2 linked regions of the Nothobranchius furzeri genome follow. The main gene of each other region encodes a partner of the protein of the gene in region 2 in a complex. Links are inferred from orthologs where the notes say so. Each region holds a gene or a part of one and is shown on either strand. Other genes may lie near its edges.

Region 1 (4,873 bases), on a different chromosome or scaffold from region 2:
GAACAAAACAAAGGAGAGTATTCACATCCCCATGGTGTTATTGTAGATATTTGGGTCAACCTGCAAAACGAAACAACAAAACAGAAAAAGCTCCATCTCCTCGCTTTAAGCTGTAGAGATTTTCTGTCATGCACTTAGGTTGCAGCTCTCTTTCCTCAACTTAAAAAGGAATCATTCTTTGCAGAAAGCTCTGGAGTATTATATTGCGTCTGGAAGAGAGCGAGGGGTGAAACAATGGATGAGGAAAGCAGAAACAAAGCTATGCCTTTATCCACCATCTTATCAGGTTCCTGAGCATTCCTTTGCTTAAACCCTCTAACAAAAACTGTAAGCATGCACGGATGCACATCATAAAGCAATGCTGCCACTTCATACGACTCACATGTCATTGTCTTGTGAATAAATTACTATTGAGGCCTACTAAGGGTGCTTCTGAGCTGCAGCGGGGAGAAAGAGTCACATGTGGGGGGTGTTAGTATAAAGTGTGTGCATGCAGCCACAGAACAGCAAGAGGGGGGATTGATTCAGGGGAGCGAATGAACCTGGAGACCTGGTGTGAGAGATGGGATAACCAGAGCCAGATGGCCCAATCCTGAGAGAAATGATGAACATTTCTATTAAATTGACATTAGTTTGCAAAGGTGAAACAATGCATGAGTTAAAGTGGTTTTATTTGTGCAACGGTGTGTCAAAACCATCTTTTTGTGTGTGTGTGTGTGTGTGTGTGTGTGTGTGTGTGTGTGTGTGTGTGTGTGTGTGTGTGTGTGTGTGTGTGTGTGTGTGTGTGTGTGTGTGTGTGTGTGTGTGTGTGTGTGTGTGTTCGGTGCAGCAATGTGCCTGTATGTTGTTTGTCTTGTCTTACCTAGACGAAGCTCACACAGGCGGAGCTGGGGATCCAGGGGAGGGTGGAGTCGCCTCTTCTTTCTCCAGCAACGAGCAGGGTACGTATACATCTGTCCTGCAGCCTGGCCTGAAAAAACACACGTATGCAACAGGATTATAAGATTTCACACACACACACACACACACACACACACGAGCGCGAGGAGAGACATGGGCACACTGGAAGAATTTCAAAACCTACTGGCAAGGGTAACAAACCCTCCATTGAGTTTTGTACACACACACACACACACACACACACAAACCCACGCATGCACGTACACTGGTCCACGGACAGGCCTTGTACTTAAAGACATTGCTACTATCTCACTTTTCCTGAACATCAGTATGGAGAAACAAAGTGTATATCCAAATTGACTGATGAACAATTGGCTAGCCAGAGCAAAGCAAAGATCAAACTGCTCAAAATTTCATAATAGTTGACTCAAAGATTTTTTAAGCAAAGTTTTTTTAATTTTCACACATTTAGCATTTTTGCATAACACCAAAATCTACATGGAATTAATGCAGGGGTATCAGATGTACTCAGGCTCTCAGATCAGCTGAGGGAGCTGCCGTTTACGTCACAATACGTGATTGGCTGGACGTTAGCCTGTTTGGTTGGTCCTGACAAATTGCAGGACTTATGTTAGCATATAATGTGTGATATTTGGTCTCCTAAATAATCCAAGACTGTTTAAAATAAATAAATAAATAATTCTCAGCCTTCAAATTAATTTCCTTAGATGGGAATAATAGGTTTGGGGGCATTCCTGTTAAACATGGTGCTATTTTATTTCAGATAAATTACTTGTTTGGTTAAAGAAACAAAGATTTAATTTTAGTTTTTTTTTTCTTTTTTGGCATTGTTGTTTGTAAGTAAAAAATATTTCATCAAACACGTTAAAATCGTAGAATGCTCTGGCAAAGCATAATTATCTCCCTGCTCATAAATAATGAACTACCTACGCATTTAACCATAATCTAGGAGACAGAAGCAAAGGAGAAGAGCTTTTATGTCCACATGAGTAGAGCATCAAATAAAAATCTCAGGAGAAGTTGGGGGAGGAATAAGCCCAGAATAAATGCATATCATGTGTGTTAGGTCTGCCACAAAGTATAGGGTGTGGCCTGAAGGACTTTGCATGGAGATGGAGAGCGGGCTATTTCTGTTCAGGTCTCAGAAAAAAGCATGATTGTTCCCTTTGGCTTCTCAGATGAACCGCACGTGCGTAAAAAGTCTCGACTGCTCGATAAATCAAAGAAAAACCATTTCTGAGACATCAGAGTCTGATCTTATTGAAGAAATGGATGCATATTTACAAGTGTTAAAGTCATCCCTCATTTCTTTAGATTTTGTTTCAGATGAACCCGAACAAGCTTTTGAACTGGTGATCAACACTTCTTTAGGGACTTTTTGTACCTTTTAGGGCATTCCCTGGCCGGCCGTGAGACATAGTCCCTTCGGCGTGTCCTGGGTTTTCCTTTCGATCTCCTCCCAATTAGAAGTGCCCAAAAAACTTCACCAAGGAGGCGTCCTAATCAGATGCCTGAGCCACCTCAACCGGCTCCTCTCAACATAGAGGAGCAGCTGGTCTACTCCGAGCCCCTCCCAGATGACCGAGCTTCTCACCCTATCTCTAAGGAAGAGCCCAGGCACCCTGCGGAGAAAACCCATTTTGTCCGCTTGGATCCGCGATCTCATCATTTTGGACACTACCCAAATCTCGTGACCATACATCAGGGTAGGAATGTAGATCGGCCAGTTAATCGAGAGCTTTGCCTTCCGGCTCAGCTCTCGGGGCAGGACCTCATCCCTGACCCGGAGAAGGCATTCTACCCATTTCTGACTCAAGACCATGGTCTCGGTTTTAGAGGAGCTGATGCGAAAGCTGGAGATCACTTTCAGATGAAGCCAAAAGGACCACATCATCTGCAAAAAGCAGAAGCTGGTTCTTAAAATCTCATCCCGATAATTTCATGTGTTATATTTTAATTCCAATATCAGCCGATAATATTGAATAATGCTATTATTGTTTTGAGAGTGGAGTTTTTGTGTGTTTTTAAATTTTAAAAAGTGTAGAACTAAACATTTATTTATTAACTGGAGGGAAAATAGTGTTGTACCACTCGCCCACCACCACCCCACAAGCTCTCCCAGGTGTGTCTCACCTGGCCGACGGTGACGTTTCTCCATCCAGATGTAGCAGTTGTTCTGAGCCACGCCAGTTTGGGAGTCCAAGAAGGGCATTCGCACGCTGCGCTCAGCACAGAGGCGAGCATTGTAGCTGCGACAGTGTTCAATGGCCTCTTTATAAAACTGGTCACCGAGCCTGCAGAAACAGAGGAGGGACACAGATATAGTCAGGCAGCAGAGCAGGACGAAACCTGAACCCAACATGAAACATAACGGTTCCACTGAACATTTATGGAGGTCTTTATTTATTCATTTCATTTACCGGTACATATTTATTTTGTTTTGAGTACGGCAAACCACCGTTGCTATTATTTAGCACAAAACTGATTAATATTGAGTGTATCTGAAATGTTTAGCCTGGATGAGATTTTCTAATTCTTTATTTTGTAGAAAATAACATCAGAATTATGTGTATATATATATATATATATATATATATATATATATATATATATATATATATATATATCCTGAAGCCATTTATGTGATCTAAAAAAGTTTTAAAAAGAGCAGCAACACAAAATAATAATTAAGATTAACCCTAAAAGACAGAATAATCATAATAGGTTCCAGATTCTCATATTAGAGCCACAGGAAACATGTGACTCATATTGACATTAATTTATTTAATAAAACTGAGTAAAACGTGTGACTTGAAATGAAAAAAAAAAGACATGCAGAAAAATTTCTCAAACTTTTGAAAACAGAAGAATGATCCCTGCTCGAGTCGGTAAATCCTAAATATCCTGCTTCTGTGTTTACTATATCTCTGACCATCAAACCCCCTCTCGGGGATTTTTCCTCTCAGATATGTAAAGAATGCCAAACTGGACAAAAACCAGCTTTGGCAGAGTCCATAGACTGTTAAACCTCAAACATAGTCAGCAGAAATATTCCTCATTATGGTATAATCCCAGGATCTGCATAGGGAAGAAACCTGTTTACTGGGAAGAGTGGTAAGTGAAAGGATTAAATACTATTGGTGATTTGTTTAAAGAAGGGGTGTTTCTGCCACATGATAACCTGGTGCAAGAGTTTAACTTAGTGGGAAAGGGTCATTTTTGGAAATTCTTGCAAATGAGAAGCTGCATTACCTCGCAGCCGTATAATATTGAAGACAACACAGTAACTGAGGATGTGAAACTTCCAGCTAGAAAGCAAGTTAAAAATGATCTGGCAGAAAGGCCTTGGCATAATGATTTATAATGATAAATGGAAAACAATTGTTCTCAATCGTGGTAAGCATGCAATATAATGTACTACACAGATACTATCATACACCATCTAGACTGTTTAGAATGAAGCTAGTGGATGACGATTCATGTTGGAAATGCAAAAGGAATATTGGGACGTTTATGCTTTATATCTGGGAATGTGCTCCTATTAGATGTTTCTGGACTCGGATTGTCAAGATCCTAAGTAAGTGGTGTGGAACAGACATCCCTTTTGACCCAGAACTGTGTTTATTAGGAAATAAATCTCAGTTCCCTAATGTAAACAAATGTAATTTTTCAATCATCTCAGTGGGATTAATAACAGCCTGTCGTGTCATTTTAAGACACTGGAAAGCAGCAGAATCTCCAGAGATTAAGGAATGGCCGAATCTGCATCGTATGAATGTATGCTCAGCAGACTGAGTGAAGACAACAGAGGGAATTTCTCACTGGGATGGATTCAGGAACTTTATGAAGACAGACAAAGACTATGGGTGAAATCAAGCATGTTATGCGACTGCTGTTATTCTGACACTGCATGTCTGCAAGGGTATGATTGGGACCTGTTTCCAAAATCAAC
Region 2 (4,873 bases):
ATTTGCTCACACTGCAGCGCAATTGTTTCCAATCAGTGTCTTTTTTTTAGCATGAACAGACTCAACATCATGTTAAAGACATTCAAATAAATTAAACTTTCTAATTCGAGAAGAGGCTACCCTTTTGTTTTCTAATCAATGTCCAACGGGAAAAAAAAGATTCTGATAAAATTTCAGAAATTAAAGAACACGTATTGTCCGTCTCTGGTGAGTATGAAAGAATTTTAAAAAGTAAGTGCTTGGAAGTCATGAATGGAGTGAAAACTTGCGTCTTTTTAAATGAAAACAACAGTGAAGACTGAATTCCTGAAAAGCTTTATTAAACACATCCTGTCTACCTGCAGCATCAGTGACCCTATAGTGTGTGTGTGTGTGTGTGTGTGTGTGTGTGTGTGTGTGTGTGTGTGTGTGTGTGTGTGTGTGTGTGTGTGTGTGTGTGTGTGTGTGTGTGTGTGTGTGTGTGTGTGGCAGAAGATGTGTGACTTGACACTTTGTTGGCTGTAGAGGCTCACTCTCTCCAGGTGGACCGCTGCATTTCAGAGAACACACGGACAGAGAAACACACACACACACACACACACACACACACACACAGCTGGGAGGCTGGGGTGCTGGATATGGCCCAGCATTTTAGCAGATGGCCTGGGTGCTACGCTATCAGTCACCATAGTAACATGCTCTCTTTTTCCTCTTTCTCTCTGTCTTTCTCTCCTTGTCTGTAGTGCTAAGAGAAGGAAAATGGCAGACAAGATTCTTCCGCAAAGGGTGAGGCTGCATGTATTTATCTTTGTTGTGTTTCTGTATCCTTTTACCTTTTGTCTGCAAAGCAGAAAGATCCTGGTCGCCTTTTCGATGCCCGGGGTCCTGAGGCGGCGCCAGGGGCCGGATGATAATTTGTTATTTCCAAAATAAGAAGGGATGGGTGGAGTGGAGAAGAGTTTTCAGGGTGTTTGTTGTTTAAAATTGAAGTGGTTGTTTGGGTGTGTCAAGAGATGCAGACATGAGTGGGATAGAAACAAGTCGCAGGTGAGTTGGTGGCGTTTGCAGGTTGTGATTTTCTTCCTGTAGCATCAGGTTTTTAACCGCATCCTGTAAGAGAGAGGGGTGAGTCTGCTGAGCTCTGGGCGTCTATGTTCAGGTCTTATCCTCTGACGTTACCCTGACAGAGAGATAGCAGAAGTCATGGCATGGGGTGGCACTCCACTACAATGAGTCAGGCATGGGGAATGTCTTCCACACTTCTCCGCCGGCTCGGCACCTCGGCCCGGTAAAGAGACGCAGATAGAGGAGGAATGAATGGAACAATGAAGGCAGGCTCTCAGGAAGAAAGATGAAAGAAGCTGGAGGGAGGGTGAGGAGCTGTAGGAGCAGTGTGCAGCAGCCCGCCATGCTTGGTGGACTTTCATCTGTATGGTAATGTTGGAGTCCTGGCTGTTTGTCTGCAAAAACTGAATCTCATTTTAATCCCCTCATGCCTGTTAAACACACACGACGGCTTCTACTAAAGCTTTTTATTTCCATGCAACCTCATTAAAGTGCTTTAAATGTGTGGGACACTTATTTAATCATTACATTTGCAGTGATCTATAGCAGGAATGAATGCTCTGTAAGTCCTGCTCGGTGGAGAAAAAAAGCACAGATGCGCCTGTTTCATGAACCACCAGAATGCCACATCAGTGGACAGCTTAACACGGCGGTATTTAGAGTCTTACTTCCTGATATTTGGACATCTCGCCTCTGATTGGCTAACAGCAACATGACTCTACCACTGTTTGCTTTGCAATGTGGATGTTTTATCTCCACAAATAACACAAGCCTGGAGGAGATCAGCTGTGTTGTGGAGTTGCTAATGCTAACAGTTAGCTTCTATCAGCCGAGGCGTTCTCTGCTGTTTCTTGGATGCTAAACCGCCAACAGCCTTCAATCTAAAAAAAAAATTCCTAATAACATCTGGCTGAATCTATCGCGATATATGTGGTATATCATGCCAGCAATACACATGCCTAGTCTCTCATTAAATTAGCTGCATACACATGCTTAACCTTACAACATGTTAGGGATTAAGTGCTAATTGCTGCTAATCTAGCCTATTAACACAGTTCAAGCACTCAATTTGACTACTTTAATTAAACGCCTGTCAAATCAGACTGATTATACATACATAGTTTATTGATTTGGATGCAAGATACTGATTGTCTACAAATATTACTGACACTTGCAGCTAAGCACTAAAGGTGTGTGATGTAAAGTTTATGACATTACTAAAAACTGCAAAGGTTTTATCTCTTTTTATCGTTTGATAAAAATAACTATTTTTACTGTAGTAACTAAGATGTGTTAGCTAATATGTGTTGAATATTTAAGCTAACACGAATCAGCTAACACACTCAATTTTTATTTTTAACGAAAAAATCTGACTTTTTCATTCCTGTTAGGTTCTGATTAAAATGTTCCTAAAGTGTCTTCCTTCCTGCGCAGATCCGTGAGCTGGTACCAGAATCTCAGGCCTACATGGATTTGCTAGCCTTTGAGCGCAAACTGGACCAGACAATCATGCGTAAACGCGTGGACATCCAGGAGGCGCTGAAGAGACCGATGAAGGTAAAACCAGAAGAAAAAGATCTGATCGGGATGGTGGAGTGGACCTCCTCGGGCGATTTCATACTAACCTGTTTTCTTTAATGTTCCATTTGTGTCAGCAGCAAAAGCGTAAATTAAGGCTCTATATTTCTAACACCTTCAACCCGGCTCGACCCGACGCGGACGACTCAGATGGCAGCATTGCATCATGGGAACTGAGAGTTGAGGGCAAGCTGCTGGAAGATGTGAGGATTTTCATGTATTCTCAGCAGGGTTTGAATTACACACAGTCTTCTGGGGGAGCCCCGTTTCCTTGGGTGGGGGGGCTGTTGTCCGTCCGATCACCTTCATTATTGCGCCATCGGGGGGGGGGGCTAGATCACTTTTGAGGTTACCTCGGGATGTGTCAGTTGAGGGCTTCTGGGGGAGCCTATCACCTTTTCAGGGGAGCCGAGCTCCCCCTAGCTCCCCCGTGATTCGAACCCTGATTCTCAGACATTTTTAGTTAACTTTGGAGTTTTATTTCAGAGGGCACCGTCTAGAGGAGGAAAAGTGTATTGCACCACAAGCCCCTCTCTATTCTCGTGATCACAGCTAGAAGCAACACCTCTCGTTTGTTAAAGCACACCTTTAGCTAGCCAACAGAGGTAAAACACAATTATTATTCTCTGCACCAGTCTAGGTACGTCGTCCAACTCATGCGCCCACTTGGTGATGGTGCATGTCTAACGCTTCAAATTGCATGGGGCTCTATGGAACGGGGGGGGCTGGCTCCAATGTAAAACTATCATTTTTACTAATTTCTAAAAGATCATACGGTATATAATTCCTGAAAGAGGGAAAACTCTGAATTGCTGCTTTAAAGAACTGGTTTTAGGAGTGTTTAGAGATGACAGTAATTAGTTCTGAGCCGTAGGAGCTGATGATGTCAGCAGCAAAGTGCGCGAAAGTTTCAGAAACCAAAAATTTTTCAGGTTAGGTCCAGAGGAAGTGGGTTCTTTATACGTCTGCTCACTGTTTTAATGTGATCTCACTCAGCTGCTCGTGGTTTCTTACACCTTATGAAGCTAAAAACAAAGTGCATCTATTCATCTATATTTGTGAGTCCACCCACACGTGCACACAGCCGATCCTAACCCACCACCTCTCGTCTGTCCCAACAGCCCGGGAAGCAGAAGAAGAAGTTCTCCTCGTTTTTTAAGAGCTTGGTGATCGAGTTGGACAAAGATCTGTATGGGCCAGACAACCACCTGGTGGAGGTCTGCACAAACACCCCAACACTACTGCCTGCCACCCACCGCCTCAAAAATAACTAAATAAATAAAACACACAAACTCACCTTCAAGCAGCATCTTTTGGATGAATCTTTAACCCCGCTGGGTTAAAAGGTGACTCAAAATAAATCTGAGAGCTTCTTATTAACATTTTACCTCCATTTCAACGACGTCAGATCTAACGGACACTAAACTTTTCACAACACCTCTGTTTTTACCCCTCAAAGTGAAATATGAAAGCAGCGTCAGAAGGTGGTCAGTCTGACGGGGAGTCTAAAGGAAGTCAAGAAATAGTTCAGCTTATAACACCCTCCTAAAACCGCAGCTTATTAGCTTTCCACTTCACTTAAAGTAAATGTGAAACAAATGACAGCTGGGTGTCTGTCTGGGCTCTCTTGACTGTTTTAAGGTAAAAATGCTATTTTTGGTAGCTAGCCACCTTAAAATGTAGAATAAATCAGAATAAGATAACTTTTTATGTGTAAACAAAGCTTTTTTGGAAAAATTTAGCCAAATTCTCCATGTTTTCAAAAACTGATGCTACTTTTCGCCTGATTTTGACATTCTTCCTGAACAGTTTGTTCCGTTGCTAGTAAAGAGCTTTTCTCTGCTGCACAAATCACTAAAGCCGTTCAGTCAAGGTCGACGTCCCAACATTTTGTCTCGTCTGGCTAAATCTTCAGGAACACCGATCCCGCTTTGGCTGAACATGAAATTAAACAGAAACACGAGGCTGTTCAAACATGCTAATGAAGAAACCGGCTGCTTTATTTTAAACAACCAGCTGCTGCTCTTCACCTTACATAAAAATGTTCCGACGTGTTTTATGAAATCCACTTCAGGAGATTCGGAGTGGAAATCGCGTCCTCTCAGGGTTTCATCTTTTTAACCCAGCGCTCAGGTGCTTCGCTTTGAACCGTTTTCAATCAAAAGAATTCAGCTTTCCACCCTGAGACGCATTCAGGGTTTGATCTGTTGGGGAGCGTGTCAGCTGACACGGAAGGGACGGAAAATCCACA

The links.
Region 1: smarcd3b (region 2) and dpf3 share a complex: the UniProt entries of both Homo sapiens proteins name them as parts of the BAF complex. The link is inferred for Nothobranchius furzeri from reciprocal best matches to the Homo sapiens genes SMARCD3 and DPF3.

What each region holds. Positions count from the first base shown.
Region 1 is NC_091742.1:25,620,992-25,625,864, reverse strand, and holds part of dpf3 (zinc finger protein DPF3), read right to left. Parts: intron 3,216-4,873; coding exon 3,055-3,215; intron 971-3,054; coding exon 863-970; intron 1-862. UniProt on the Homo sapiens protein: Belongs to the neuron-specific chromatin remodeling complex (nBAF complex).
Region 2 is NC_091747.1:45,528,431-45,533,303, reverse strand, and holds part of smarcd3b (SWI/SNF-related matrix-associated actin-dependent regulator of chromatin subfamily D member 3b), read left to right. Parts: intron 1-722; coding exon 723-765; intron 766-2,478; coding exon 2,479-2,601; intron 2,602-2,699; coding exon 2,700-2,825; intron 2,826-3,743; coding exon 3,744-3,839; intron 3,840-4,873. UniProt on the Homo sapiens protein: Involved in transcriptional activation and repression of select genes by chromatin remodeling (alteration of DNA-nucleosome topology).